Linked DNA regions of Ovis aries. The protein of the gene in region 1 binds, or shares a complex with, the protein of each later gene. Links are inferred from orthologs where the notes say so. Each region holds a gene or a part of one and is shown in the gene's direction. Other genes may lie near its edges.

What was found.
Region 2: the proteins of YWHAG (region 1) and HDAC4 are in contact, whole or in part, in a crystal structure (PDB 3UZD), measured with the Homo sapiens proteins. The link is inferred for Ovis aries from reciprocal best matches to the Homo sapiens genes YWHAG and HDAC4. Residues at the interface, in NP_036611.2 of Homo sapiens: Asn43, Leu44, Ser46, Val47, Lys50, Asn51, Arg57, Phe122, Lys125, Arg132, Tyr133, Gly174, Leu177, Asn178, Val181, Glu185, Leu221, Ile222, Leu225, Asn229, Trp233; in NP_001365345.1 of Homo sapiens: Ser348, Pro349, Ser350, Leu351, Pro352, Asn353, Ile354, Leu356.
Region 3: the proteins of YWHAG (region 1) and NLRP5 are in contact, whole or in part, in a cryo-EM structure (PDB 8XI3), measured with the Mus musculus proteins. The link is inferred for Ovis aries from reciprocal best matches to the Homo sapiens genes YWHAG and NLRP5. Residues at the interface, in NP_061359.2 of Mus musculus: Phe201, Tyr216, Thr220, Met223, Gln224, Arg227, Asp228, Thr231, Ser235; in NP_035990.1 of Mus musculus: Ser1030, Cys1031, Ser1055, Gln1058, Cys1059, Pro1060, Val1061, Glu1084, Phe1087, Val1088, Lys1089.
Region 4: the proteins of YWHAG (region 1) and NEDD4L are in contact, whole or in part, in a crystal structure (PDB 6ZC9), measured with the Homo sapiens proteins. The link is inferred for Ovis aries from reciprocal best matches to the Homo sapiens genes YWHAG and NEDD4L. Residues at the interface, in NP_036611.2 of Homo sapiens: Lys50, Arg57, Arg61, Lys125, Arg132, Tyr133, Gly174, Leu177, Asn178, Val181, Tyr184, Glu185, Leu225, Asn229, Leu232, Trp233; in NP_001138439.1 of Homo sapiens: Pro444, Arg445, Ser446, Leu447, Ser448, Ser449, Pro450.
Region 5: the proteins of YWHAG (region 1) and TLE6 are in contact, whole or in part, in a cryo-EM structure (PDB 8XI3), measured with the Mus musculus proteins. The link is inferred for Ovis aries from reciprocal best matches to the Homo sapiens genes YWHAG and TLE6. Residues at the interface, in NP_061359.2 of Mus musculus: Lys50, Arg57, Arg61, Lys125, Asp129, Arg132, Tyr133, Gly174, Leu177, Asn178, Val181, Glu185, Phe201, Asp202, Ile205, Ala206, Leu208, Asp209, Glu213, Tyr216, Lys217, Thr220, Leu221, Ile222, Met223, Gln224, Leu225, Arg227, Asp228, Asn229; in NP_444484.1 of Mus musculus: Phe137, Leu138, Ser139, Glu140, Ser141, Asp142, Leu144, Gln145, Leu295, Arg347, Asn430, Leu447, Gln470, Met472, Asn489, Asp510, Asn511, Thr512, Met530, Pro553, Arg555.

What each region holds. Positions count from the first base shown.
Region 1 is NC_056077.1:34,831,374-34,837,095, reverse strand, and holds the start of YWHAG (14-3-3 protein gamma), read left to right. Parts: upstream 1-1,751; 5' UTR 1,752-1,940; coding exon 1,941-2,027; intron 2,028-5,722. UniProt on the Homo sapiens protein: Adapter protein implicated in the regulation of a large spectrum of both general and specialized signaling pathways. Binds to a large number of partners, usually by recognition of a phosphoserine or phosphothreonine motif.
Region 2 is NC_056054.1:2,402,815-2,408,063, forward strand, and holds part of HDAC4 (histone deacetylase 4), read left to right. Parts: intron 1-1,841; coding exon 1,842-1,926; intron 1,927-2,855; coding exon 2,856-2,997; intron 2,998-3,419; coding exon 3,420-3,462; 3' UTR 3,463-5,249. UniProt on the Homo sapiens protein: Responsible for the deacetylation of lysine residues on the N-terminal part of the core histones (H2A, H2B, H3 and H4).
Region 3 is NC_056067.1:64,169,530-64,174,778, forward strand, and holds part of NLRP5 (NACHT, LRR and PYD domains-containing protein 5), read left to right. Parts: coding exon 1-1,157; intron 1,158-2,876; coding exon 2,877-3,044; intron 3,045-4,211; coding exon 4,212-4,379; intron 4,380-5,249. UniProt on the Homo sapiens protein: Component of the subcortical maternal complex (SCMC), a multiprotein complex that plays a key role in early embryonic development.
Region 4 is NC_056076.1:57,723,983-57,729,673, forward strand, and holds the start of NEDD4L (E3 ubiquitin-protein ligase NEDD4-like), read left to right. Parts: upstream 1-1,657; 5' UTR 1,658-1,782; coding exon 1,783-2,862; intron 2,863-5,691. UniProt on the Homo sapiens protein: E3 ubiquitin-protein ligase that mediates the polyubiquitination of lysine and cysteine residues on target proteins and is thereby implicated in the regulation of various signaling pathways including autophagy, innate immunity or DNA repair.
Region 5 is NC_056058.1:18,577,913-18,583,747, reverse strand, and holds the start of TLE6 (transducin-like enhancer protein 6), read left to right. Parts: upstream 1-2,299; 5' UTR 2,300-2,841; intron 2,842-2,930; 5' UTR 2,931-3,013; coding exon 3,014-3,016; intron 3,017-3,254; exon of another isoform or gene 3,255-3,382; intron 3,383-3,528; coding exon 3,529-3,602; intron 3,603-3,997; coding exon 3,998-4,043; intron 4,044-4,873; exon of another isoform or gene 4,874-5,047; intron 5,048-5,733; coding exon 5,734-5,775; intron 5,776-5,835. UniProt on the Homo sapiens protein: Component of the subcortical maternal complex (SCMC), a multiprotein complex that plays a key role in early embryonic development.

The sequences.
Region 1 (5,722 bases):
TACATATGTCAGGGAGGAATCTGCCTCTGAGTCCCCTGCTTGTCCCTTCTGCCTGCTTTCAAATTCTACAGATCTTTTCCTTTTCTTAAAAAGTTTTTTTTTTCTTTTGCTTTTCATTTCACGTTAATTAATTAATTTATTTTAAATCCTATACATCTTTAAGGGAGTGGGTTGGAAATATTTCCAGCTCTTCAGAACCTCTTCCTGGGAATTCCTTGGGGGGTCCAATGGTTAGGACTGTTCTCTTGCTGTGCAGGGCCTGGGTTCAATCCATGGTTGGGAAGCTGCCTAGGAGCAGGCCAAAAAAAAAAAAAACAACCCACCAAACAACAACAGAAAAAACCTTTTTCTATCTAGCATGAAAGAATTAAAAAACAAAACAACAGTGCTTAACACATTCTGAATTCTTTGAGGGCAGGGTTCCATGCTATCTTCCTCCAGTGCTCAGCATAGAGCCTGGACTATTCCTTCACAGAAATTCCCTCTTTCTCAGTTCTCATACACAACACTTCGTGCCCATTAATTTTTTTTAACTAGTTATAATTTTCTAACGTACTCTACACATTATTTAGCCTATTTTCTTGGGCAGAATTTTGTGTTGTTGATCACTGGTGTACCGCATTGCTTAGAACAGTGCTTGGAACATAGCAGGTGCTCAGTAGATAAGTACCAAATAAATAAAATGTGCACTCAAAACTTTGGGGTATGTGAGCTACATGGAATGTCAAAAAAGGGAAGCATGTAAGCAAGAATTAGTCAGCCTGACCCCATCGTGTATATCCTACGCGGGGAGAGAAGTGTTGGTCAACCCCCAGACAGAACTCAGTGGTAAGCATCCATTGGCTCTGGTAACGCTCCACCCTGGAGAGGAAGAAAGGGCTCCCCAGGGGTCAGGCTGCAAACAGCTGCATCCTTTCCGTGTATTAACCAGAATGCCTGGCCAGTATTTGTCTTTCCACATTTCCACCTGTCAGGTCCAAGAACCTCGAGGCGGGGAAGGAGAGACGGAACCTTGTGGGGGAGGGTGGCAGTCCCCCCAAGGTTTGGCTCTTTTAATTCAACCATCTCTGAGGTGAGTACCACCCAGACAGTTTGGATCAGTAGTGAATGCGTCCCATCTTCCCAGTCTCCCGGGGGCCTGCTGTTTTATCTCGGAAACAAGGTCTAGGGCTGAGGTCCTGGCCCCCCTCCCCCAGTAATTTCCCGGAGAATATGGGGCGGGGCCGTGAATCAGCACTCGCTCGGACTCGGGCAGCCTTAGTCCCCGCCAGGGGTCCCCAGTAGCCGCGGAATTAGACCTCCCCAACCCGCCCCACACCACCTCCTCAATCCTCCTTCATCTGTCCCGCTATGACCACTGGGAGATGTAGTCTTGACCGCCCCTTTGTCCTTGATCTCCCCAACATATTACCCCATCCCAGGGAGAACTACAACTCCCAGGGGCCCACGAGTCGGGGGCCTGGCAGGGTTGGGGTCTGCAGGTCCAGGGTGGGTGGGGGACCGTCTGGAGAAGCTAGGGCGCAGCGAGCCGGATGAAGTGAAGCACGGGGCTTGTCGAGGGGCACCGGGGAAGAAGGGGATACCCGGGAGGCGGTAGCGAGCTGAGCCGGGGAGCGGAAACCCGAGAAGCGGAAGGGGCCGGGGCGGGGCCGGGGCGGGGGCCTTGCGCGGGCTGGTGGGCGGGGCCGTCTGCGTCACGCGGCGTGGGCGGGGCCGCAGGGGGTTGTCCGCCCGCCGCACGCACAGCCGCCGCAGCCGCCTCGCGCCCGGTCCCGCGGTCGCAGCTCGAGTCGCAGCCTCCGCGCCCGTCGCCTCGAGCCGCTCACGTCTCGTGTGGGTCGGTCCCTCCAGCACACGGGCTCCAGCCGCGTCGCAGCCGCCCTCCGAGCCCTCCAGGCCGTCCCGGATCATCCTCGTCCGGCCCGACCCAGCCCGTGAAGATGGTGGACCGCGAGCAACTGGTGCAGAAAGCCCGGCTGGCGGAGCAGGCGGAGCGCTACGACGACATGGCCGCTGCCATGAAGAACGTGAGTTTCCCCTCCCCTCCCCTCCCCCTCCGCCTCGCCCCAGCCCCTTCGCGGCCGCGGGCCTTCGCGGGCTCTGCCCGGGGACTAGTCGCCCGTCGGCGACTGCAGGTCTGGATGCCCCTGAGGGGGCCGGGGAGGGTCCCGACAACGCTGAGGACCAGGTGTGTGACGCGGCCTCTCCCCGAGCGTCCCCTAGGGCCGGCGGCCCGGCCGCCTCGGCCCTCCCCGCGCGCCCAGGCTGGGGCGGGGTCTTTTCGGGGCCGGTCTCGGGAGCGGGGTCTCTGGCCGCCGCGCCTTCGGGTCGGCTTGGGGACCTGAGCGGGGGGCCGTGCGCATCCTTTGTGCCCCACTTCCCCCTCCTCCCACAGCCTGGGCGTGTGGGGGCGGGGGACCGCATGGATGCGGTTCCTCTTTTCTCCCTGATGTCTGGGCGGCGCCTTTCCCATTCACTCAGCAGGTCTCCGGGTTTTCTAATACCCCCCCCCCCCCGCCCACCCACCCCACTCCCCAAATGTTCCCACTACCTTCTGCAGACAGATCCTTTAGAACCTCCTCGAGAAAAAATGAAGGGTCTCCTGAAAATCTGGACTCAATGGTGCAAAATCGAAACCTCCATGCTCACGTTTTTCTTAACAAAAGGCTCCCCTCTCTCCATTCCCCAAAGCAAGCCCTCTTCTTGCCTTTAGGAAGGGGGGCACGTTTGTCTCGCTAGCGTTTTCATTGATTGTTCTCAATATGTCATCTCCATTTTTTTTCTTACTGTGCTCGTACTGAAAGGGTAGGTATTGTCTCTAAAATAAAGGTTGTGAATTTAGCCGACTGGTTCAATTTGTGACATATGCTGTTTCTTTTTTAAATACAGGCACACATCTGTTGAAATTCCTTTAAGTTGAAAAAAATATTCTCTCTGATCTGATATTGCAAACAAAGCGGTGGTGGGAGGCAGTATCAAGTCATTCCAGAAGATTCTGCATTTGTCATATTGCAGAGAGCCTAGACTGGGTGGAGGCTGGGGAGGAGTTATTTTAAAGGGGAAAAAGTCTTTTTTTTTTGTTTTAATTTGTTTTGTTAGACACATCTGAAGCTTAAAAAAAAAAAAGCTAGCGCATCTTCAATGCTGATGAAAAGAGAATACTGATCTCCAGTTGTCGCATTTTGCAGATTCCTGCCTGTATTGCACCACTTTGTCAGTAATGCTACATTTATCTGATGGGCGGTCAACCGGTTTGATATTAGAGGGGGACATATTGAGCATTACTAAATGAAACATATATATCTAATGATTTCAGTCTCACTATTTTAATATCTAACTTCCTGCCTTATGTAACAAAGGTTTTAAAATGCATCTCCAGTGTGCAGCGGATACAGGAGTGTACCTTGCACATGAAACCTCTTTAATGAGGCGGTATAGGCATTACAGATTAATTAATTCTCGAATAACTCTACTGGTTCACAGGAGATGACAAGGCTGATGCCTTTACATTTAAACCAGCTACATTAGCAGAGAAGATTATCTCATTAAGGAAGAGGATTGGTTCTGAAATTGGGAGTACTGCTGTATTAATATACTGTCACAGTCGCTGTCTTTATAAGGTGCAAATGATAAGTTGCACTTCAGTGGATATCAATATCATTTATCGCGTTATTTAGACTCTTCTAATTTTTCCATATTTCTAGTTTCACAGGAAAGCGAGTGACCTCGCACCTATATCCATAGCAACCCAGTGATGTCACACACAATGACACAGAGGCTGCAATGCACCTCAGGGCTGGTAGGGAGTATGCAAATGGCATTTGTCCAGGGTAATGCAGAAATTAGCAGATAAGCCAGGTGGAATTGAGCACTTCCTCTTCCGCCAGAGGAGAATTGGTCCCCCAAAGAAGAATGTCCTTTATCCTGACACAGGCACACCAGGGATCTCTGGATATGCCTGTTCACCTTTCCTATTTCCAATTTTCTTGAAAGTTTATAAGATACAGTCATGTTTTTAAACATTCATCTCAATAATAACCTTGGGCATTGAAGGACTAGAGATGGAAAATTTTAAAACAAGAATATGTTTTATACTCATAGTGTAGGGGTATATGTGGGTTTATTGCAGATTATTAACTTGGCAAGTTTTAATAGAAACCTTAAAAAAGATTATGACTTCCTACTGGGACATTTTCAGTAAACGTTAGGGAATGAGAATCTGCTACAGACACCAGCTTGAGATTTGGAAAGCTTCTCTTGCTATGCTTATGCTCCTTAATGGAGTATGGAGGAAGGAAAACAGTTTTATAAAATAAAGCAGACATTTTTCCAAGCAAATCTGTTCACTGTGATTTTGAGGAATTGGTCTTACGTCTGACCTTCCTTTTCTCATCTGTAAAATGGGTCAACACCTACTTGAAACAGTTGTGAGGATTAAATAAAAAATGTAGATGCTTTAAAAAGGTAACTAAGCCTTGTTTCTTTGTTTATATAAGTCACCACAGAATTTGGAAAATACAGGAAGATAGAAAATACTCAGTCCTACCACTAAAGTGAGTTCTAAGGTTGAACTCATCCAGATGCTAGAGTGGTGAAATTTATTCCTATCTAGTGAAGGTACCCTAGTAATAAACGGGACCTGTGATAGTTATAGGTGTGCAACCAAGATAGAAATAATACGTATTTTGAAAAAGAGGAAAGAAGGAAGTTTAGTCTTTTCAGACACGTGTAGGCTTGTATCTAAAAAGAAGCGATCACCTAGATATTTCCTACTTGTTAGACAATACTGACTTGTCCTTTGGATTTTAACAGCCTCTTGAGCTACTTGTATTTGCCTTGGGAGGGGCTGGGGAGAAAAGGTTCTAGGCAACTAATGTTGAAGTTACTGGGATAAACATTTTATGGTGTGTTGGCGGCAGAGGGGCATTAGTGGCAAAAGTCTATCCTAATTATGTAAAAATGCCTTCCTAGCAGAATCTATATACTTAAAAAAAATTTTTTTTAACTATGTTAAATATTCTGTTTTTTTCTGCTAGCTCTTCCAGGAGGCTAGATCAATAGCCATTATCACTAATGGAGTAATGACACCTCTGTAGCCTCTTTGTGGAGTTCTGCCAGCCATTATTATAATCGAAGTCATGTGGCTTCAATTGTTCTCTTTGGAGTGGAAGAATACAGATAACAGTTGGCTTTTTGTGTTCACCTTCCCGATAACTTAAATGACTGCTAAGTGCCTCTTCTAATTATTTAAACAATTTCATATGGGTTTTTTTTTAATCGAGATAAAAGATGTTGCTCAATGTGCATCTTCATTACAGTTCATTAGATTAACTGCAGACCCTGGGAGGATTTCATCTTCTGGTACTTGGAGGAAGCCTTATTTATTTATTAAACCAAACTCTAGTTAAATTACCAAAAAGAGTGGAGAAAATGATTTGAGTCTTTTTTGTTGAGGTAACAGTCACAGGGCATAAACTAACCCTTTTCAAGTGTACTATTCAGTAGCACTCTAGAAAAGGGAAAAATGATATTTTTAAAAAGTGACCATGGTTGGCCATAGCTGGCTGGATTTCAGCACATGATTACTGATTCAGGAATGTGTCAGTAATGAAGTACTCTCAGCCAGTGGTAATCAGTATCCCTTTGTCTTTGTTTTCTAACATCTGAACCTTTTCAGCCTAAACTGAAAAAAAAAAAGGAGGGGGCACTTCTTTTGGCTTGG
Region 2 (5,249 bases), on another chromosome or scaffold:
GCCACCCCGTGGACCGTAGCCTGTCAGGCTTCTCTATCCATGGGATTCTCCAGGCAAGATTACTGGAATGGGTTGTCATTTCCTTCTCCATGGGATTTTCCCCACCCAGAAATCAAACCCTCATCTCCTGCCTTGGCAGGAGGATTCTTCACCACTGAGCCACCAAGGAATCCCACAGTCTAGAAGCAACAACTGAAGGAATGGGGCTGAGCACAGCCCAGAGACAAGGCGTAGAAGGGGGCTTGTGTGTCTGTTCAGCGACCCCACCAGAGTGCGGGGTGGATGGCTGAAAGTGCCAGCGGCCCAGGATATTCCGTGACTGATGGAGGCACCATTCTCAGCCCTGGAAGGCAAGGGGGCCCAACCCAGAGAGTTTAAAAAAAAGCTTGCATCCAAGCTCATCTGAGTGACTGCAGGACCACGAAGACAAACAGGAAACTGTGAAAGTAGCCGGAGAGAGCAGACAGGCAACCCACAAGGAGCAGTGTGAGCCAGACACCAACCGCTTCACAGTGAAGGAAGCAGAAGACAGCGGGGCAAGGTCTTCCGTGTCGAGAGGAAGAGCCCACCAGCCCAGAGCCGCAGGCCCAGCGGGACTGTGGCCGCGGGGCTGGGGTGGGTGGGAAGAGAGAAATAACCTGGGAAAGCTTGACCCGTGAGACCTTCTCCAAAGGAAACTGTAGGAGCTTCAGGCAGGACGACAGCCCGGGCAGCTGTCTGTTGAGCAAGACGGAGGTGTCAGTGCAGGAAAGCCCGAATCAACAGGAACTCCAGGAGACAGTAACAACGATGCCACGTCAGTGAAAGTCAAGAAGGAGGCAGAGTGAGGGCCGCGAGCCCTCAGTCAGGGGCGACAGGGAATTCGGCCGGGCCCTGGAGCGGGGGCTGCCTGTACTGCAAATAAACATGGGGAACGCTGGCTGCAGTGCACTTGTGAGGAGCAAGTACTTTGTGATCGGTTTAGCCCGCGTGCTGGGCGGCTCTGTGGCAGACACCCGGCGTGCCCTGTGGCCGTCAGGCAGGTGGGCCGTGTGCGCCTCCCCACTCCACCTGCGGCAGGGACTTCAGGGAGAGCTCGGAGCAGAGATGCTCACACCCTCTGTCTACCTTTTCTCTGATCATTGGAAGAAAACCCTGAAGGGCAGATGTGCTTGTCGCTCAGTTGTGTCTGACTCTTTGTGACGCCCTGGACCATAACCCGCCAGGCCTCTCTGTCCATGGGATTTCCCAGGCAAGAATACTGGACTGGGTTGCCATTTCCTCCTTCAAGGGATCTTCCTGACCCAGGGATCAAACCCACATCTGCTGCTTGGCAGGCGGATTCTTTACCGCTGAGCCACCAGGGAGGCCCAAAGTGGGGATATTCAAGCCCTGTCTATAAAACCCTTGTTGACAAGTGTGATGAAACTGATGTTTCCGAAAAGTCATCATCCCTTCCCCTGACGCTGTGCCGTGCATCCAGCGGTGGAGCCCATGCTGCCACCCCTCTGCGCCAGCTGCCTCTGGACACCAGCTAGTGTCCTGCCCACACGGGCACCCACGAACGTACCCGAGAGCCTCCTAGGGGAAACACCTTAAGGAAAATAAGTTTACTTCTGTGAAAACATTTATGTAATGCCACAACCACCTCTGGCTTTTTCAAGCTGTCTTCTCTGTTAGCACGTGCACGTGAGGAAGACACTGATCTGGACGTCCCATCTGAACACGCACGGGGATTCTATGATCCGGACGTCCCATCTGAACACGCACGGGGATTCTATGATCCAGACGTCCCATCCAAACATGCACAGGGACTCTACTGATGGCCTCGAACTCACCGTGTATTCTTCTTTCATCCCCAGCTCGATCCTCTCCCAGAAAAGGTCTTACAGCAGAGACCCAACGCCAACGCCGTGCGGTCGATGGAGAAGGTCATTGAAATCCACAGTAAGTTGCCTGGCCCAGGGCTCAGCAAGGAGACCCCCCCCAAGGGAGGGGCCCGACTCCACAGCCCTTCTCCCACCCCCCATACCGCCCCCACCCCCTGCTTCTCTCTCACTGCCAGCAGCGTCCCCAGGCCCGCCTGTTGAGACCTGGCTTTCAGGGCGAATGTGATGAGCTGGTGACTCTCCTCTCACCCCGCTTGACGTCCCAACAACCTGCCACAGCCAAGTCACCAGCTCTGCTTTGTGGGGCAGAAGCGCTGTGGTTCAGGGGGTGTGTGAGGTCCCTTCTCCAGGCTCCCCACTGACAGGCTGGGACCCGCATGGAAGCCTGTGTCCTCGGGTCTGGCCTCTGCCCTTGGACCAGCAAACCCCACTCCATCAGTTCAGGGTACCCTTGGCCCAAAGACCAGCCCTGCCCCTCGAGCGATGGGGCCCAGGAGCCCAGGGGCTGCACACGGACTTCTGCCCCGCCTTTATCCTGGGTCTGCGGGGTGGCCCAGTCGCCAGTGTCCGTGTCCATGGGCGGGACCCAGGGTCTCCTGCTGTGCACTGAGCTCCTGGCCTCCTGAATGAGGAGCCCTGAGGCCCAGGAGACACCGGGAGGCTGCCTGCTCCCACCCCCATCATCTCGGGACTCCAGCAGGGAGTCAGGGAGTGCTCGTCCCAGCCGCCCCACCCTGAGGGAGGGACCCTCCCTGGAGCCCACCCCCACCCAGGTGTCCTGCCCCTGAAGGGCCCAGTTCTCCTGGTCACGGGGAAGCTTTTCCAGACTGCCACCCTCTGTGAGTTTCTAACCAGGCCACCTCGTGGCTTCTGTCTCTGGAGAGCGTGGTGCTTTGGAGTCACCAGCGATGGGTGCTGCTGGAGCCCCGTGGGCCCAAGCACAGGGATGGGGTCCCGTATCTGAGCAGTCACCCGCCCCTTCCGCAGGCCAGTACTGGCGCTCCCTGCAGAGGCTCGCCTCCACCGCTGGCTACTCCCTGGTCGAGGCCCAGAAGTGTGAGAACGAGGAAGCCGAGACTGTCACTGCCATGGCCTCGCTGTCTGTGGCCGTGAAGGCCCCTGAGAAGAGGTGAGCACGGACACTGGCCGGCGGTGGGTGCTGCCGCCATCTGCGGGTGACCCGGGTCTTTGCTCCCGGGTGTATTGGGGGCACGTGCTAGCTCAGCAGGGCGGGGAGTGGGTGAGCTCAGCAGGGCCTCACCCTCGCCCCAGGGCAGACTGCACCACACCTCTTCCCAGAAGCAAGAGCCTGAGAAAGACTTGAAGGGCGTCTGGGCCAGAAGGAACACTTCCCTAGGGGAAGAGTGGGGGTCGCTGAGAGTTGAGGGGGCGGGGGTGGCTAGGAGTCGGGGCGGGGTAGCTAGGAGATGGGGGTGGAGGTGGCTCGGGGTTGGGGGCGGGGATGCCTCGGAGTTGGGGGGCAGAGATAGCTAGGAACCTTGCACATCCACCCTCTCCTCTGTTGCCACCCCGCCCGCCCGCCCGCCCCAGCAGACCCGACGAGGAGCCCATGGAAGAGGAGCCGCCTCTGTAGCCGCTCCCGCAGCTGCGGGTCTCTTGTTTGTCTGTCTCCGTCTTGAAGCTCCGCCGAGAAAAGTTGCTGCCGCCCTGCGTCCTGCCGGCCTCCTCCGAGCCCGCGGGCGCGGCGGGGCGAGCCGCAGCCGGCGGCCCTCTGCCTGCCGGACCCGGGCAGACGTCGGGACGCGCCGACACACGGACGTGCGGGAGCGGGCGCTCCGGGCCCCGCAGGGCAGCCGCGGAGGGAGGGAGCCCGCGGGGGCTCGGGGCAGAGCCGCCTGCCGAGCGAGCCGACCCGAGGAAAAGAAAATGAAAATCAAAGATCTCACGACACAAAACAAACTTGATTAAAACTGGTGCTTACGGTTTGGTGATTCCCCACAATCCCACAGTCTCCGTGTAAACCACTCAACTCATTCTGTAGCTTATTTCTTTTCAGAGAAGAGTCAGCCGCTCCGGCGCTGGCCTGCCCCTGCGCACCGCGGGTGCGCGGTGGGGCTGGGACACGGAGCGGGCGAGCGTTTAAGGAAAAAAAAAAAACTGGACAAAAGCAGAAATGTGAGCCCGTGCGGCTTTGGTTTCTCAAAGCCGACGGAAGATGCGCGTTTGTGCCTTTTTTTTTTATTGCTCTGATGGATTTTTGTGGCTGGGTTTTCCGAAGTCCGAGGAACAATGCCTTAAGAAAAATAAACAGCAGGAGTCGGTGGGACCGCTCCCTGTGGCCGGTGGGGCCGGAGGCCGGCTCGCACTGGCCTGGCGCTTCACAAGTGGTCCCCGCCTCGGCCAGCAGCTCTGGAGGGCTGAGGTCCTGCCACCCTGTTTCGCTTTATTGCTGTTGAAGAAAAATGGAGGTAGTTCCAAAATAGTGGCAAATACTGTTGGGGGTTTCGAAGTCCAACAAATTTTAAATGAATCCAAAGTGTTCTTTTTCTCGTACATCATATAACAATTGAGCATCTCCATTTGGTTGTGAAGCATGTCCTAGGCACACTTTCAGTGTTACGATCGGAATGCTTTTTATTAAAAGCAAGTAGCATGAAGTATTGCTTAAAATTTTAGGTATAAATAAATATATATATGTATAATATATATTCCAATGTATTCCAAGCTAAGAAACTTGATTCTTATGAAATCTTGATAAAATATTTATAATGCATTTATAGAAAAAGTATATATATATAAAATAAATGCAGATTGTAAAGGTCCCTGGCGAATGAACGGCTTGTGACTCAGCTCTCAAGGTGCTTGTGGAAAGGGATCTAGTTTGAAGCTCATGTTATTTCTGAACTCCAGATTGGAGAGCTTTCAATCACAGGTTCGCCATGGGACACCTGCCCTGCAAGATTGTACCTTCATCTTAATTATTTTCTGACCTGACCCCTCCCCACTCCAAGCCTCCATGCACATGTGTACCTGATAAGTTTTTATAGCAAAGGATATCAATTTGCTGTTGATTTTGTATGAATTTTTTCACAAAAAGATCCGGAATAAGCATTGTTTTGTGAATTTTACATTTTTTCTCACCATTTAGCAGTTTTCTGAATGGTAATAACGTCAACCTTTTTCCTTTCTAAACTTTTGCTTGTACATTTTTTTAACTTTGGAAGGTATTTTTTTTATTATTATTATTATTATTTTCATTTTGTTTATTTTTGTACAGTGAGCACAGAGTTTATTTTCAGAGTGAGCGCGGAGCGTGCAGCGGGGTCTGAGGTCTGCCCACCTGGGCCTGCCTGTGGCTGCACACAGAGCGTGGAGCCTTCCTTTGCCGCCCGTGCTTTCTGGGCAGGGGGCACCCTCGCA
Region 3 (5,249 bases), on another chromosome or scaffold:
GATTCCAGCCTCTCAGCCAACTGGGTGGAGAGGCAGCCCGTGGCAGTCCTGGCACACAGCCTGCTGAAGAAAGTCCTGCTCCCCGAGTGCGCCCTCCTCCTCACCGTCCAGGACGCGGGCGTGCAGAGGCTCCAAGCCCTGCTCCGGTCTCCCCGTTACCTCTGGGTAGGGGGCCTCTCGGTGGAAAACAGGGTGCAGTTGCTCCTCGGCGGCGGGAAGCACGGTCGTCAGGAGACACGCGCCTGGCACGCAGGCACAGACCACCAGGAGGTGCTTGACAAGTGTCAGGTGCCCGTGGTGTGTGCCCTTGTCCGTGAGGCCCTCGAGCTGCACGGGGAGCCCGAGAAAGGCCTTCCTGTCCCCGGCCACACCCTCACGGGCTTGTACGCCGCCTTCGTGTTCCAGCGGCTGGCTCCCAAAGATGCAGGCCGGCGCGCGCTGAGCAGGGAGGAACGCAGTGCCCTGAAGGGCTTGTGCCGGCTGGCCGTGGACGGCGTGTGGAACGCGAAGTTCGTGTTTGACGGCGACGACCTGGGCGTCCACGGGCTGAAGGGGCCCGAGCTCTCCGCCCTGCAGCAGGCGAGCATCCTTCTCCCTGACAGCCGCTGCGGAAGGGGCCACGCGTTCTCCCACCTCAGCCTCCAGGAGTTCTTTGCTGCCTTGTTCTACGTCCTGCGAGGCGTCGAGGGAGACGGGGAGGGCTACCCACTGTTTCCCCAGAGCACAAAGAGCCTGATGGAGCTCAGGCACGTTGACCTCAACGTCCACCTGGTCCAGATGAAGAGGTTCCTGTTTGGCCTTGTGAGCAAGGAGGCGACGCGGGCCCTGGAAACCCTCCTAGGCTGTCCCGTCGCCCCCGTGGCTAAGCAGTGCCTTCTGCACTGGATCTGCCTGCTGGGTCAGCACCCTGCCGCCCCCGCCGCCTCCTCAGACTTGCTCGAGGCCTTCTACTGCCTTTTCGAGACACAGGACGACGAGTTTGTTCGCTTGGCCTTGAATGGCTTCCAAGAAGTGTGGCTGCAGTTGAACCGGCCGATGGACTTAACGGTGTCCTCCTTCTGTCTCCGTCATTGCCAGCATTTACGGAAAGTTCGACTGGATGTCAGAGAGACGCCAAAGGATGAGTCTGCTGAGGCATGGCCCGGGGCTCCCCAAGGGTGAGTGCCCCACCTCTGCCATTCCCATTCTTGTGTTTCTTTCCAACACAAGAGAGGTATAACTGAGCAAAATTGCACGCATGTAAGGTGTATGATTTGGTGTTTTGATGTACCTGAAATAATCACCATCAAGCTAGTCAGCACACCCATGCCTCATATAGTTACCATTTTCTTTGTGTGTGAAAACACCTAAAGACTATCCCCCTGGGTCTGCATCGTGTTAGCACATTAGAGCTCCAGAATGCGCTCATCCTGATAACTGCAACTTTGTACCCTTTGGCCCACATCTCCCAGTTCCCCACGCCAAGGCCCAGGCAAGCACCGCTCCACGCTCGGCTTCCGTGAACTTGGCTGCTTTAGAATCTACGTGAGACCGGGCCCGTTGCTCCGTGACTGGCTCATCTCGCTTGGCACACTGTCCTCTGGCTCACCGCTGCTGTGGCCGATGGCAGTGCCTCCCTCTTTTTCAGGCCTGAATCATGTTCCGCTGTGTGTGTGTACACCACATTTTCTCTTTTTAAGTGTTTATGTTTAGTGGGAGGATAACTGCTTCATAGTGTTGTTTCTGCCACACATCCACACAGATCAGCCACAGGTATACACGTGTCCCCCCGCCCTTGAACCTCCCCCCACCCCTAGACCCCCACTCTAGGTCACCACAGAGCACCAAGCCGAGCTCCCGGTGTCATGTGGCAAATTCCCATCCGCCATCTGTTTTACACATGATAACGTACATGTTCCAAGGCTACTCTCAGCTGATCCCAGCCTCTCCGTCCCCCGCTGTGTCCACAGGTCGGCTCTCTAGGTCTGTGTCTCCACCCCTGCCCTCCAAGTAAATGCATAAGTACCACCTTTCTGGATCCCATATAATGTGTCAATAGGCAATATTTATTTTCATCTTTCTGACTTCACTCTGTATATAACAGGCTCTAGGTTCATCTACGTCATTAGAACTGACTCAGCCTCATTCCTTCTCATGGCTGAGTCACAGCCCACTGAGTGAGTATGTGCCACAGCTGCTTTATCCACGCCGCTACCGGTGGACATCTAGGCTGCTCCCACGTCCTGCCTGTTGTAAACAGCGCTGCAGCGGACGCTGGGGCACACATGCCAGTTTCTTTACCCACTGATGGACACTTAGGTTGTTTCTGCATCTTGACTGTGGTGAATAATGTACAAATGCTTCTCTGGGACCCTGATTCCAATTCTCTTGGACACACCCACAAAAGTGGGGTTTCCGGATCATACGGGAGAGGATGAGATGGCTGGATGGCATCACCGATTCAGTGGACACAAACTTGGGCAAACTCTGGGAAACAGCGCAGGACAGGGAAGGCTGGCGTGCTCCAATCCATGGAGTCACAGTCGGACATGACTTGGCGACTGGACAACAACAAATGGTAGTTCTATTTTCAATTTTGGGGGAGGGACGTTCCATACCGTTTTCCATAGCGGCTACACTTTGACGTTCAAGAGGCAGCTAGAATTCAAGCACAGATCTTACTTAGAGCTGGCGGTATGCCCTGTGGGTACAGAAGTGTTCTGGAGGCAGTTTGGTTATGACACTACTTCTCCAGACCATGAGATCAGATCCACTCAGAGCCTCTGAGACCCTCCCCATCCTAACAGCCTGACTGCTCTCCTCAGGCATGGATCGCGCAGTTGCTCATGTCGAATCCATCCTGTGTGAACAAATGTTTGTTTCCTTCTCCGCAATAGGCTGAAGATCAAGACCCTTGATGAGCACTGGGAAGACCTCTGCTCCGTGCTCGGCACGCACCCAAACCTACGAGAGCTCGACCTGAGTGGCAGCGTCTTGAGCAAGGAGGCCATGAAGACCCTCTGTGTCAAGCTGCGGCAGCCAGCCTGTAAAATACAGAATCTGATGTGAGGCTTCCCAGACCCCGTACCTCCCTCTGTGTGTGGCTGTGTCACAGTTCTCCTCTCCTACCTACTGATCTTTAGAACGTATTTGCAGGGAATAAGGGCTGTGGAAGGTGCAGGAACCAAGTTCCCAAAAGTACAGGTGGGGAATGACTAAGGATCTTGTGAAGGGATTACTAAGGTGGGTTCATTTACTCAGGGTTTTGAAGGATGAATAGGAGTTGGTTAGCAGGGGAGGTAGTGAGGAAGGTTCATTTCAGTACTGTATTCATTGACACCATAAGTTTACATTGTCTGTCTGATGAATCATGTGTCAGTACCTCCATCAATGCTGTGATAGAAAACACTTTAGATGTTATACGTTTAACCTACGTATGTGTCTATACATACATGTAACACTGGACATCAAAAATGAAAATACAATGTAAAAAAATCATTACTGTATTTACACATATAATGATGTACACATTGATAATGAAGAAGCATCAATAACGTTGCTTTATGGATTCCTGGGTAGGAAAGATCCCCTGGAGAAGGAAATGGCAACCCACTCCAGTATTCTTGCCTGGAGAATCCCATGGACAGAGGAGCCCGGGGGGCTACAGTACATAGAGTCGAAAAGAGTCAGACATGACTTTGCAACTAAGCTGCAAGAACAACACCGTGGCCCTGATGAATGAGTCATTACACACTTCTCATGGCGTCCATATTACGGTCACAATCATAACACAATATTGGAAACATTGCTGTATTCTAAAAAAAAAACACATACCTTTAATGATTGGCTGACAGACTGTTTCTCTGGTTATAAGAGAGAAAAGCATTCTGTACAGCAATGTAATTCTTCCAAGCAAAGTTCTAAAATAGTAAGAAAACAAACACATCGTTGGTTTTACACTGAATGCCACTCACCTTCTTCCTGTGTAGGGACAGGCGGCCCACGTCAACACCAGTTTTGCATACGATGGTGTTCATGCGTGTTTTTCTATTTCTTGAGAAAAGCCCCACATACACAAGAACTCATATAGTTTAAACCCGTGTTGTGTGAGGAGCAACTGTAAACGCAAATAATGAAAGATCAGAGTCAAAACGGGAACAGAGAAGGAAAGACGAGGACGCGACGGAACCTGTCCCTTCGTCCTAACTCGAGCCCCCTTTTCTCGTCTGCAGATTCACCGGCGCCCGGGTCACCCCTGGTCTCCGCCACCTCTGGATGACTCTGCTTGTCAACCGGAACGTCACGCGCCTGGACCTGGCGGGCTCCCGCCTGGGCGAGGAGGACGTGCGGGCGGCGGGCGCGGCCCTCAGGCACCCGCACTGCGCGCTGCAGACTCTCAGGCGAGTCCCGCGCTGCCCGCTTTCTGCCGCTCGGGTTTCCGGGCGTTACTGCTTTGCTTTCCACTTGGAAACAAGCTTTCGCAGAAAGCTGCTGAGGTCTTACCAAGCTCTGGGAGTCTGGCGCCGGGACGAGTGCTCGACCGCGGGTGTATGATGAGCGCCGCCAAACCCGACCCGAGGAAGCGCGCGGTCGCCTGCGCTTCGCGTGTCGCGTGCGCTTCACGAAGGGCGCAGTCACGTGCGCTTCACGGGTCACGTGCGCTTCACAGGTCACGTGCGCTTCAGGGTGAAATGCAACTTCCGGGGGGGTCCCTGGGGGCGCCGCAGCCGAGACTGCGCTCGCGATGCGGGGCGCCCGGGTTCCGTCCTGGCCGGGGAACCAGACCCCGCGAGCCGCCCCCCAAAACCCAGCGCGCGCACGGCCCGCGGGACTCTGCTCAGGGCTCCGGGGTAGCCTGGACAGGCGCGGGGTTTGGGGCAGAGTCGGACTGACTGAGCCACGCACGAGCGCACACCCCCACACCTCACACCCCACACCCCACACACACACACACACACACACCCACACACATACACAGACACCCACACACACACACACACCTATACCCGCACTCACACACACACCTGCACCCACACACCTGCACACACCACACGTGCACCTACACACACACACCCCTACACACACACACCCCTACACACACACACCCCTACACACACACCCCTACACACACACACCCCTACACACACACACCCCTACACACACACACCCCTACATACACCCCACACACACCCCACACCCCCACACACATACACACACCCACACACACCACCACACACCTCACCCACACACACCTACACACACACACACCA
Region 4 (5,691 bases), on another chromosome or scaffold:
CCCAAAAGGGCTTTGAATGAATGCCAAGCTCTAAGAAATCCCACGTGAATGCAGATTTTATCTGAAAATTTGTGTTTTATATACCGAGCTTTGCCCCAGGCCATCGGCAGTGTTGTTACTATGCAGTGAATGCTGCTGCTGGTGGTTTTTTTCTTTGTTGGGTATTAATCCAGCTAAGACAATACGTGACTGTAGTGGTGCTTGGCAGTTTTCGCATTAAACAAACTGGCTTCCATTTCTCTCGTAGAGATCATTTTTGGCATTTAAAACCCATGCCTTTAGAAGACAGGTTTGAGTGCATGTAAACGCAGGGTTAATCCTCCACACCCTGGACTCCAGAGCTGTTGACAGAATCATGCTTTGCAGATTTTAAAATAAACTTTTTGTCACTCTTTGCAGCTTGGTATTCCCCCTTTGCCCCCCATCATTTTTTTTTATTCCCTCCTAAATAAACCTCTTTTTTAAAATAACTGATGTTTCTGGCTCACAGAAAAGAGTATGTTTAAAGCACACAGAATATATCCAAATTAGCTACAAGTCCGATGACAGTTTTTTGAACATGGACTTTCACTTTTATTACTTAGGTCCTTTCTGGCTCTTCAAAAGCAACAAGATTCTCTGTCTGTAACCCAACTGGGGAGATCCTGCTGACTTCTTACTGGAAAAGAGTCAGCTCCAGGCAGCCTTTTTTTCTGCATGGTATTTAAGTTCATTTATTACAAAAGCCGCAAGCAACACGCTTCTCCAACTGTCTTTCCCTTTTTTTTTTTTTTTGAGTGGGGGGATGTTGGTTTTTCTCCTATCTGGCATACAGGGGGGAATGTTTTCTCCAGCTGGGTTTCTTTCCTCTGGCACTGCCGTATCTGAGAATCATATTATGTGTGAGATTGCGTCCCCCGCCCTCCCCATCTTTCAAATAAAACACATGTCGTGGTAGCCAGAGGCAGACCCCAACTGGCAGTAAGTTGTTCGCCCCCCTCCCTCCACTCAGCTATTTTGTTACTTGTAGATCATGGTCTAATTATTTAGCGTTAAAGGGACACGCATTCTGTGGGGTGTGTAATCGTATTTATAGTACGTTTTATTAGTTTGCATTCCATCGTGGTAGTGTGGTGATATCATATGTAAGCGGGGCGCGTAACATCCGATTGCTCCTGAGAGGCTTTTCCTGCAGCCCCTGCAGTGTCACTTGTCACTGTCGGGTTCGATGGGAAGGGGGGCTCCTCTGTGTGCTTCTGCCGTGGGTGCCAGTTGCTCCGCATCGGTGAGACAGCGCCCGGGTGCCCAGCTCGGTTTGGAAAGAACTGTCCGGTGAGCGCGCTGCGCTGAGATTTATAGCCGCACAGCTCGGACTGTGTTTGCTGCCTTAGTCAGCTGTGAGAGCTCCCCGCTGGGGCCACTCCTGTCTGATGGAAAAGCAGCAGCTGGGAAGGTGCTGTTTCAGGCTCTTGCTGTTTAAAAAAAAATGAGAGCGAGAAGGGGAAGAAAACTCCACTAAGTCCAGAAGCTGGCATTGGAGAGGGAGACCGCGGTCATGTGGTTCCGGCCACCCTACCCTCTGTCACAGTGCGGATGAGAGCTTTCTGCTCTTATCCAATCATGCCTGGAATGCCGCTTGCCACTTGGGTTATTTCTGCTATCTGCCGCCCTTGGTGCCGCAGTGCTCACGCTTTGGCAGATGGAACGCTTTTCCTTGGAGTTCGTGTCTTTGGGGTTTGACTGCTGGCAGCGCCGGGCCTGTTGTTGCTGCTCGCCCTGTCCCTCCCTGGCCCTCTGGGCACCATGGCCCATCGGCTTCGGTTTCATTTTGGCTCCTGCCGCAGCAACACAGCCCCCGAGTCGGAGATCCTAGACCAGGAGGGAGAAGACGACTTTTTCATGGCATTCCACACGCTCCCGCGGCGGGGCGGCGCGGTTGCGCTGGCCCCGAGCGGAGCGCAGGACGCGGGCCTGCGGGGAGGCGTGGGCGCGCTCAAGCGCAGCACGTCCATGTTCATTCCGCAGCTGCTGGGCCCCGTGGACGCGCGGCCCACGCGGAGCTCGTCCGTGCAGATCTCGCTGCAGCGCAAGGCGGCTGACGGCGCCCCCGACGACGGCGACGCGGGCACGGAGCCGCTGGGGGAGCCCCCCGAGGCCAAGAGCCTCGACGACGGCAGCGGCGATGGCTCCCCTCCCGCGGGGCCCGGAGCTCCGGGCCCGCAGCTCAATGGCACGTGCGGCCGCCGCCGAGCGCCGGGCCCTGACGGCCGCGAGGAGGCCGAGCCGCCAGCCGTGCGCATCCAACACCGCGCGTCCAGCGCCGATGTGCGCCCGGTGAAGCTGACGCCCTCGGGGGCTGAGGGCCAGGCTGGCCCCGCGGCGGCAGCACCCGAGCCCAGGCGCTGGTCCCTGCAGCACGTTCCAGACGCTTCTGGAAGCTCCGGGAAGCGCTGTTTTGTCTTCCAGCTGCAGCAGCCGCCAGCCGGTGGCTGCGGGCCCGCACCGGGCGGCGACTTCAACTTTGGCTTCACCGGCACCAAGGGGGACAGGTTGGTGAGGTATCCCCGAATCCGGCTGGAGAGGAGCAGCTCGTACCCCACGCAGCCCCGGGCCGAGCGCGGGAGTCCTCCGGAGGAGCACGGCCACCCAGACCCGGAGGCGCCGCCGCGGGGCCGCAGGGTGGCTCCCGATGCCCACAGGACCGATGCGGCGGCCGAGAGGTCGCCACAAGGCCAGGGCTGCACGTTTAAGATCAGGCAGGATCAAAACGCGGGGCAGCAGCACTTCAGAATCCTCGTGACTCGGGGGCCCGAGGAAGCCCCCCAGAGTCCCGAGGAGGACGCCGCCGCGGCCGGCCCGGCTTCCACGGGAGCTGGCGCCCCGGTAAGTGAGCCTGTGATGCCGTGTGTCCGCAGGAGGAAGGGGCCGATTCTAGCCCAGCAGGCGTATTCTGCAGCAGAATTAAAATAAACAACATCCTCCTCCCTTCTGGGACTTTCCCTGCTTCGGGCCAGAGTAACTGAGTGTGTTTGGCCGGTTCTGGGTCCACGATTTGTGGTCCCGCCTTTGGTAGAAGTCCATGAAACTAGTTAGCCGATTTTAGAAAATATCGTAGCCTTAGGTCTTCAAAGTCACATAACTCTGTTTTGAAAAATCTGGACAACCCTTTCCCCCTCGTTTCCCTCCCTTCTCAAAAAAAGAATTTTTAAGATGTCGTTACTTTTTGAGTTAATGTGCCGTGCCCCAGCATGTTGACATTGGAAATGTGTTAAAAAACTGCTTGCAGATACAGGCTGTGACAACGCTGGCATTTAAAAAATAATCCGTTCTAATCCAGGTGAGAGAATCGCAGGTTAAACGTGTCTGGTTTCTTCATAATTAAGCATATGTCAGGTTGGACACATTCTTCCTAATGACCTTTTAGCTGTACAGGGCTGGCCCTGGTTGTATAATGTATTGTCTTTGTGGGTTGGTTGTTTTTTTTTTTTTTTCTTTTGGTCCCACTAAGTAAGAGTGAACAGAGGTAACCACAGTTGTGGGCTGGGAGGAAATGTGTTTTGAAGCAGATTGGCCTGTAGGGCCAAGGCCAGGGGAAACTGATGGGGGACTTGTTAATGGTCAGGTTGCACACCCCTGCAATTTAACACTGCCCACTTGAGTGTCTAAGCTGTGCTGCTGTATATAGAATAGTTAAGTGCCCAGCCTCCAGCTGTGGAAACAGAAGCCCAGCAACAGATTTTGGCCTTCATTGCTCCTGTGTTCTTGCTCTCTCCCTTTCAGTGAAATGGAGTACAGACAGACAGCTGCTAACTCCACCAGGCAAATGATGACTGCAGCTTTCACAGTTTGTCATGGGATGCGAAGTTTCATCAGTTAGCTTTCTTTCACTACTAATCACTAGCCACGTGCTTCATTTTTTTTTCAGAGGACAGGCTCCTTGTATTCTGAATTGGGGTTGTTTTCCTTGAATTTCCTCTGATGGCTGGATTTCAGGATACGGCAGTGAAATGTCTAGGAGACTCTGTGTTTGGTTTCAGTTGTGAATTGCGACTTTTCAAAGTGGATGACTGAGTTTGGCTGTGGAACCGTATCATCTTTTATTATTTTGTGTCGAGAAATACTTTTTGCCATATGAGTAAGTTTTATCACTGATCCATCGTTGTCTTTCACCATTTTGAAGGCATATAATCAGGTGCTAAATGTCAGTATATTTTTCTTGTTAATATAACTTTATAACTGTTAATGTAACTGTTTCTTCTTCTTTTCCCTTTTATACACCCTTTTCTTTTATTATCTCTAGTCTTTTCATTAGGAAATGCTATATTTTTGGTCTGAACCAATACCGTTTTTATACAGTGGTACAGATTTCAACAAAATTCTGATAATAGCCTCTAACCTTCAGCCCAAGAAAGTACCATCACAACAGGTATAGACTTCTTTGGGCAGCATATTTTTGTGCTGAATTTGGACCACCTACCACATGAATATTGACAACATGCGTATCCTAAGTTTTGACAACTTATCAGACTTTGAAATCATTTTGCAGTTAGGTGTTGAGAACAAATGGATTTTTATAATTACAGTCTCATTTGGCTTGACGTTTCTCCCAGGATTAAAAAAACAAGTGGAACATACCAAACACTGTGTGTAATTTACATGTAAGGGCCATTCTAACTTTCAAGGGCTGTTAGAGTGGAAAATAAAATTTCTTCACATTTGGAAATGTAAGTTCTAGAATAAAGAGCTTTTTGTGGAAAGTAAGTTCCCTCTAAAGCGTAGTAGTTTTTATTTTTGAATCTGTATTTTTGTACACTTCTATAAATTTGTGAAGGGTTGGTAGGAAGCTGGCTTTTTCTTTTAAGTGAAAACTTGCTTCTTCGAGAAGCAGAAACAAAACTTGTCTCATAACAAAACTGTCGGCTCCATTCAACACTTTGTACGTGTTTCAAATGGGCAGGGGTGTTAAGTGTAGGCAGCAGCTGCCTCGGCCTTATTTATCTTGAGGGAAAACATTCACTTGGGCGTCTACAGTCTGGCCGCCACCAAGCTCTTTTGACGTTTCAAATATCTGCTGCTTTGGACAGAAGGGCATTTCATTATTAGTTTACATGAAAAATCGATTACAGTCAGGTCTTTTGAATGATGTCAAAAATCTTGATGGGGAAAACCTTTCAAGATTCCTTTTGCGAATGTGCTCAGATGTCACGATCCGTGCCTTAGCCCTTATTACAAGGCTGTTTTGTTGAGAACTTTGCTCTGTGCCTCCCAGACATCCTGTCATGACTCTCATGAATAAACTTAAAATGCAACATGACTGTAAAAAAAAATGCTAATCAGATTCCAGGAACTTCTTGTGATCCTTGATTTTTTTTTTTTCTACCCAGTCTGTGAAGTAAGAATTGATTTTTTAGAGTTATCAGTTACAGTGTTACAATATTTCAAAATGCTTATACCTTACCAGTTTACTTTATAGCATTTTAATGGTTATTTAGTGAGTAATTTAGTTATTTTCTTAGATTAGTGTTTTGGGTTCCTTGGTTGGGTTAAAGTTCCTAACTGCCTAATAGTGACTCTGAGGAAGAGGGATCCTGTTTATCAGGGGTTTCTGTGCCCTAATAGTGACTGAGGAAGAGGGATCCTGTTTGTCAGGGGTTTCTGTGCCCTAATAGTGACTGAGGAAGAGGGATCCTGTTTGTCAGGGGTTTCTGTGCC
Region 5 (5,835 bases), on another chromosome or scaffold:
TGATGCTGGGAAAGACTGAAGGCGGGAGAAGGGGACGACAGAGGATGAGATGGCTGGATGGCATCACCGACTCAATGGACATGGGTTTGAGTAAGCTCTGGGAGTTGGTGATGGACAGGGAAGCCTGGTGTGCTGCAGTCCATGGGGTCGCAAAGAGTCGGACACAACTGAGCGACTGAACTGAACACAACACTGTAAATCAGTATGTGCCTAGTCATTTAGTCACGACCAACTCTTTGCAACCCCATGGACTGTAGCCCACGAGGCTCCTCTGTCCGTAGGTTTTGCCAAGTAAGAATACTGGAGTGCATTGCCATTTCCTTCTCCAGAGGATCTTCCCCACCCAGGACTGAACTGGTTCTGAATTGGCAGGCAGGTTCCTAAGCACTAGTGCCACCTGGCAAGCCCCAATACTGGAGATTTTCTATACTCCAATACAAAATCAAAATTAAAGAGAATCTCAGACCTGCACTAAAAAGTGGAACTTTCTAAGACGATGGGAATGTTATAGATCTGCAGAGAGGCCAGTCGTCCCCAGCCAGGTGCGGCTACTGAGCGGTTGACATTGATTCAGCCTGTGACCCCAGAGGAACCGAGTTTGAAATTTTATCTTGTTTTAATTCATTTTCATTTAAATAACCGCAGGTAACCAGTGGATATCGTGGGAGACAAGACAGCCCCGGATAATAAACTGGTGTGTCCGGCTGACCCTCTACAACCACGGAGAGGAGTGGAGCACGCAGAGGGAGGCAATTAGCAGGCTGGACCATAAATAAAATACACTTCAATTATGGGCCAGTGGAGGGATGGTGGGCAAAAACCTGTATTTGAGGCTTATACATGGCAGCTCTCACTTTGTCCTCCACAAACAAGCCACAGAACCCAATTTGTGTGTTTACATCTTAACCGCTGGGGGCTACACGTCCTAGGATCAGAACCCTCAGTCACCCGTTTCCCTCCCACGTCTACCCGCTCTCCACGACAAAACTCGGACTTTGGTGGGGAAGGAGATTTCTCTGGTTTGTGTGAATCCCAAGCCTGCCTACCCCCGCGCCCCTTCACCACCACTCCCCAGGACGCCCCCTTCCCCACCCCAGTGCCTGTGGCCAGGTGCAAACACATGGGAGAATCAGCATTGTGTGAGTTTTGAACACAGCAGGGTTTAGGGCTACGGAGATTACAAGATTAGCTTCAATATAAACCAGATTTGGAGAAAAATAAGAACTGTGTCCGGGGGATGGATGCCTTCCTGAACTGGTGACCTCTGAGCTAGAGTTGAAGGTGAAGTATCCAGCGGGGGGAACAGCCCAGGAGGGAACAGCCAGGGCGAAGGTTCTGGGGAGGGTACAAACTTTACCTCTCACTCCCACACTCTGCACTGGCCACTTCCCATCTCAAGCAGGCCATTTCACACCAAAAACAGGACTCCTGAACCTCTCCACACACATCCCACCCTTATCTCTGAGGTCACCCTCAAACCTAGAGTAGAATTAAGCTTCCCTCCTTGGCCTTGAACCTGGAAAAGTGTACCAGTTCCAAGGCCTTCGCAGTTCCTGCCTTTGGTTCTCAGATTTCTCAGAGCCTCAGTCCCCGGGCTTGGAGGGCTGCTGGGAAATTTCGTTGATAAAATGCACAGCCCCAGGCTTGCCTCCTAGGAGGCTGGATAAAAGGGAGCCTTTGAATTTTCCCCAAGAAAGGGGACCGAAGCTTCGTTTGCATTACACGTTATTTAATACTGAGGAGAAGGTGTTTAGCCCGTATCTAAGGATCGAGTGAGAGTGCTTCCCTTCCCCGCCTCGCCCTCAGCCAGGAGCCGCTCCAGGGCAGGACGAAAAATTGACGTGGCTTCTCACAAAACAAGAATACACACCTCCCAGTCTCTCCTCAAGCTGCACCTTGTGACCCCAAGCCCCTTGCCTTAACTAAATATTCTCATCCCTGCCGGGACCCCAAATTGCTTACAACTCTGCACGCTGCCCTTCCCCACCTCGGGACCGCAAGGGTTAAGCGCAGGCGCCGGGCCCGCTGATTGACAGTCCTTCCGGCGGCTGAGGAGAGCCGACCAATCAGAGGCGGGAGTTGAGGCCCACGTGGGTAAGCGCCCTTACGATTGGTCAGCGCCGCCGGCGGCCGCCTGCGGAGCCCGATCCCACGTGCAGCTGCTGCTAGTTCATTGACCGGCTTCGTGGTGCAGGTGGCGGCGGGGCGGGGCCGGGGCGGGCAGGGGCGGGGGCGGGGCGGGGCGGGGCGGGGCGGGGCCGGGCCCGATGGGTCAATTGGCCTCCGGGGAGGGGGGGGTGCTTCCTGTCCGCCTGAACTTGGCTGACCCTGGCGGCTTCCTTCTGGGCCACCATCCTAAGAGAGGTGGATAGGCCTTTAGATCTCTTGGCAGACCCCAAAGTCCCTGGGCTGGGGAGGAGGCGGGAAGGGTGCTGAGGGGCAGAAGTAAAGGAGTTTAGTGCCGCAGAACTGATTAGGTCTCTTTCTTCTGAGAAATTTCTAATTCACCTAGCCAACTCTTATTCATCCTTCAAAACCCCTTTCCAAATGATGTTCTCCGGTGCTTTAGGAAATTGTCTCAAAACTAAATTTGAGCTTTGATATCTTTCTCTGGGGTTCCTCCAGCCCTGGCTGCTCCTAGAAGGAAGTGTATATGTTTGGCACCATACCCTGCGCCCCACCTCGTAGAGTGAAGTCCTAGGGGGCTCCCCACCAGGAATCAGCACATCTGGAAGCCCCAGAGAGAGGTGAATGAATGAACATCGGATGTAGAGAATGCAGTCGGGTGCTGGCAGTTAGGAGATTGGAGGCCCAGGACTCAGTCCTAGAGGGAAGATCAAGGTGGGCCAAGGGTGGGGTGGGGCTGGTTGTGTCTCTGTTCCTGATCAGCCTTCTGCGCTCAGGATCTGTCATCTCCTTGTTAATTTTAGAGTCCCTGGCTAAAGTCCTTGTTACTGCAGCCTGAAGAGTGACCTCTTGGGGTCATCTCAGCCCCCACGGGCACCCTCAAAACATGGTGAGGCATTACCCCTAGGGGAGGGGCGAGGAGGCAGCAGCTGGGCTCAAATCTCTCTCTCCTGCTCCTAAGGGAGAGACATGGGCTGGCTGGCCAGGCCTTTAAGCTGGGGATACTAAGCCATCATACTTTAAGGCACTTTCGTTTTAAAATTAAACATTTTATCACCCAGGTGATAAACACCTGGCTACATCATCTATTCAGTTAATATTTTACAAGTCCCTTCCCCTTTCCTGCCCCTGACCCCATTACTTCCCAGAGAAAACCACTTCTAACAGTTTAGGCCAGGGGCCGGCAAGCTTCCATAACAGGCCGGAAAGTAAATATTTTCAACTTTATGCCAAGAATCAAGATGGAAGATACTGTGTGGGTACTTAAGTAATAACAGAGAGAGAGCAAATGACCTTCAGGTCTCAGGAGGTCCCACCCTGCCCTCTCTGAGGCTGATGACCTGACAGCAAGTATGCTGGCAGTCTGTGGGTTTCATTCATCCCCCACTTTGACTTCTCCAGGCACATCCTGAGGCCAACCTTCCAGCCCGGAACTATCAGGACATCCTGGATCAGCTCAAGCAGCATTTCCCCAGGTGAGGACAATCCCCGGGGGCTAGAGGCACCACTGTGGCCTGAAGTCTCATAGGGGGAAAGAACCCAAACTTTGTCTCCATGGCCCAAAATGCAGGACCAGTGTGGGCAGCGACCATGTTGGAGGGTGAAGCAGAAGGAAAGGAAAGCCAGTAATACCAATCCTGGCTTTCATTTCAGTTTTTGACTGTGTATGGTTCAGTGTGAATTTGCTCACATTCAATTATATTTTATAAAATACTGCATTATTCGTTCGTCTTGACACTGCCTTCAGTGTGGCACGTGGAAGGGACTAGCTCCCTTAATGGAACTGCCCTGCTGGGGGACTGAGGGCAGGGTTCATTCTGGGGAAGGGTCTTGAGGCCTCAACTTCCAGCAGGTCTGTCTTCCCCACCAGGTTCCCCACTCACTTGACGACGCAGGTGGACCTCGCTTACGGCTTGGTGAGCCCCGCCCCCACCTGTCAGCCCGTCTGGAGCCACCTGGAAAGGCTGTTGTGTTTAGTCTCATAATCCGGGTTAGGGGACACCGCCTCTACTTTGCTTGCTTTAGGCAATGCAAAGAACCCACTGAGCCCCATCTTCGTGTGTTTTTCTTCTTTTAAATGGAATTCAGTCATAGACACTTTTATTTTTTATTTTTGGCTATGCTGGGTCTTTGTTGCTGCTCTCAGGCTTTCTTTAGTTGTGGCCAGTGGGGGCTACTCTTTGCAGAGCACAGGACTCGGTAGTTGTGGCTTTCAGGCTCAGAGCTGTGGCACCTGGGCTCAGATGCTCTGAGGCATGTGGGATCTTCCCTGGCCAGGAACTGAACCCATGTCTCCTGCACTGAACCACCACTGAACCACAAGGGAAGCCCATGTGAGTTTTTCTTAATTAATAAAAACCTTGCTGTGAAAACAAGCAATTCCATATTTAAATTAAGGAGATGTTTCTTCAGGCCACAGTTGGTCAGTTCAGCAGTTTATGTTCCAGTGTGTGCTGTCTTCTGGAACTTTCCATGATGTTAGGAATGTTCTCTATCAACAGGGTCTAGTATGGCACCCACCTGCCCCACGTGGCTACTGTGCTCCTATAAGGAACTGAATTTTTATTGATTTAAAGTTAAAGAGTCTTATTTGACTGGTGGTATCCTCATTGGACAAAGCAGCTCTAGGGGGAGGAGGGAGACAATATGTAACTAGAGAAGCAAGATTTCACGAAAATGTAAGTGCTTAAAAGAAAATAGAAGGGGTGAAATGAGTCACTGTTTTGAGCCCAGGTAGTCAGGAAGGGCTTCTTGGAGGAAGTGACGTGCTCAGCGAGACATCAAAGATAAGGAGTTTCTGTCACCCTAGAGAGAACAGGGAAGGTTGTTTCAGGCAGCAAGCATAGCATGTGCAGAGGCCCTGGGGAAGGACTGTGCCTGGTGTTGGAGAAACAGTGAGGAGGCCCATGTGGCTAGAGCAGTGAGTGAGGGGGAAAGAGGGAGGCGGAGAGGGCAGGGAGGGGGCAGGGCAGGTCACAGCCCCCTTTGGCCTTCTCTTCACATCTAGAATGACAGTCAGTTGTTGTTCAGTCGCTCAGTCGTGTCCGACTCTTTGCGACACCATGGACTGCAGCATGCCAGGCTTCCCTTGTTTTCCACTATCTCTGGAGCTTGCTCAAACTCATGTCCACTAAGTGGTGATGCCATCCAACCATCTCATCCTCTGTTGCCCACTTCTCCTCCTGCCCTCGATCTTTCCTGGTATCAAAGTCTTTTCCAATGAGTTGGCTCGTCGCATCAGGTGGCTAAAGTATTGTAGCTTCCGTTTCAGCATCAGTCCTTCCAACGAATATTCAGGGTTGATTTCCTTTGGTGTTGATTGGTTTGATCTCCTTGCAGTCCAAGGGACTCTCAAGAGTCTTCTTCAGAACCACAGTTTGAAAGCATAACAGCCAGGGGTCTCCCTAATTACCTCCCACTCTGAGTATGCTTGGCCGTATCCCATTTGATGAGAGCAGAGACCAGAGAGGTTTCACAACTTGTCCAGGGTCACACAGCTGGGGAGAGGGTCACACAGCTGGGGAGAGGGCCGCACAGCATTAAGTCTTGCACTCTTGCTCGTGTCCGTCGACTGCCTCCTCATATGATTGCTGGTGTTCTTTGCAGGTCCTGAAAATCCAGCAGGGGATCCAGGAGCATCTCAAACAGGTGAATGAGTGACGGGAGCTTGGGTGGCGAGGGAGGGCTGCCCTCCTTGCATGGCAGGAG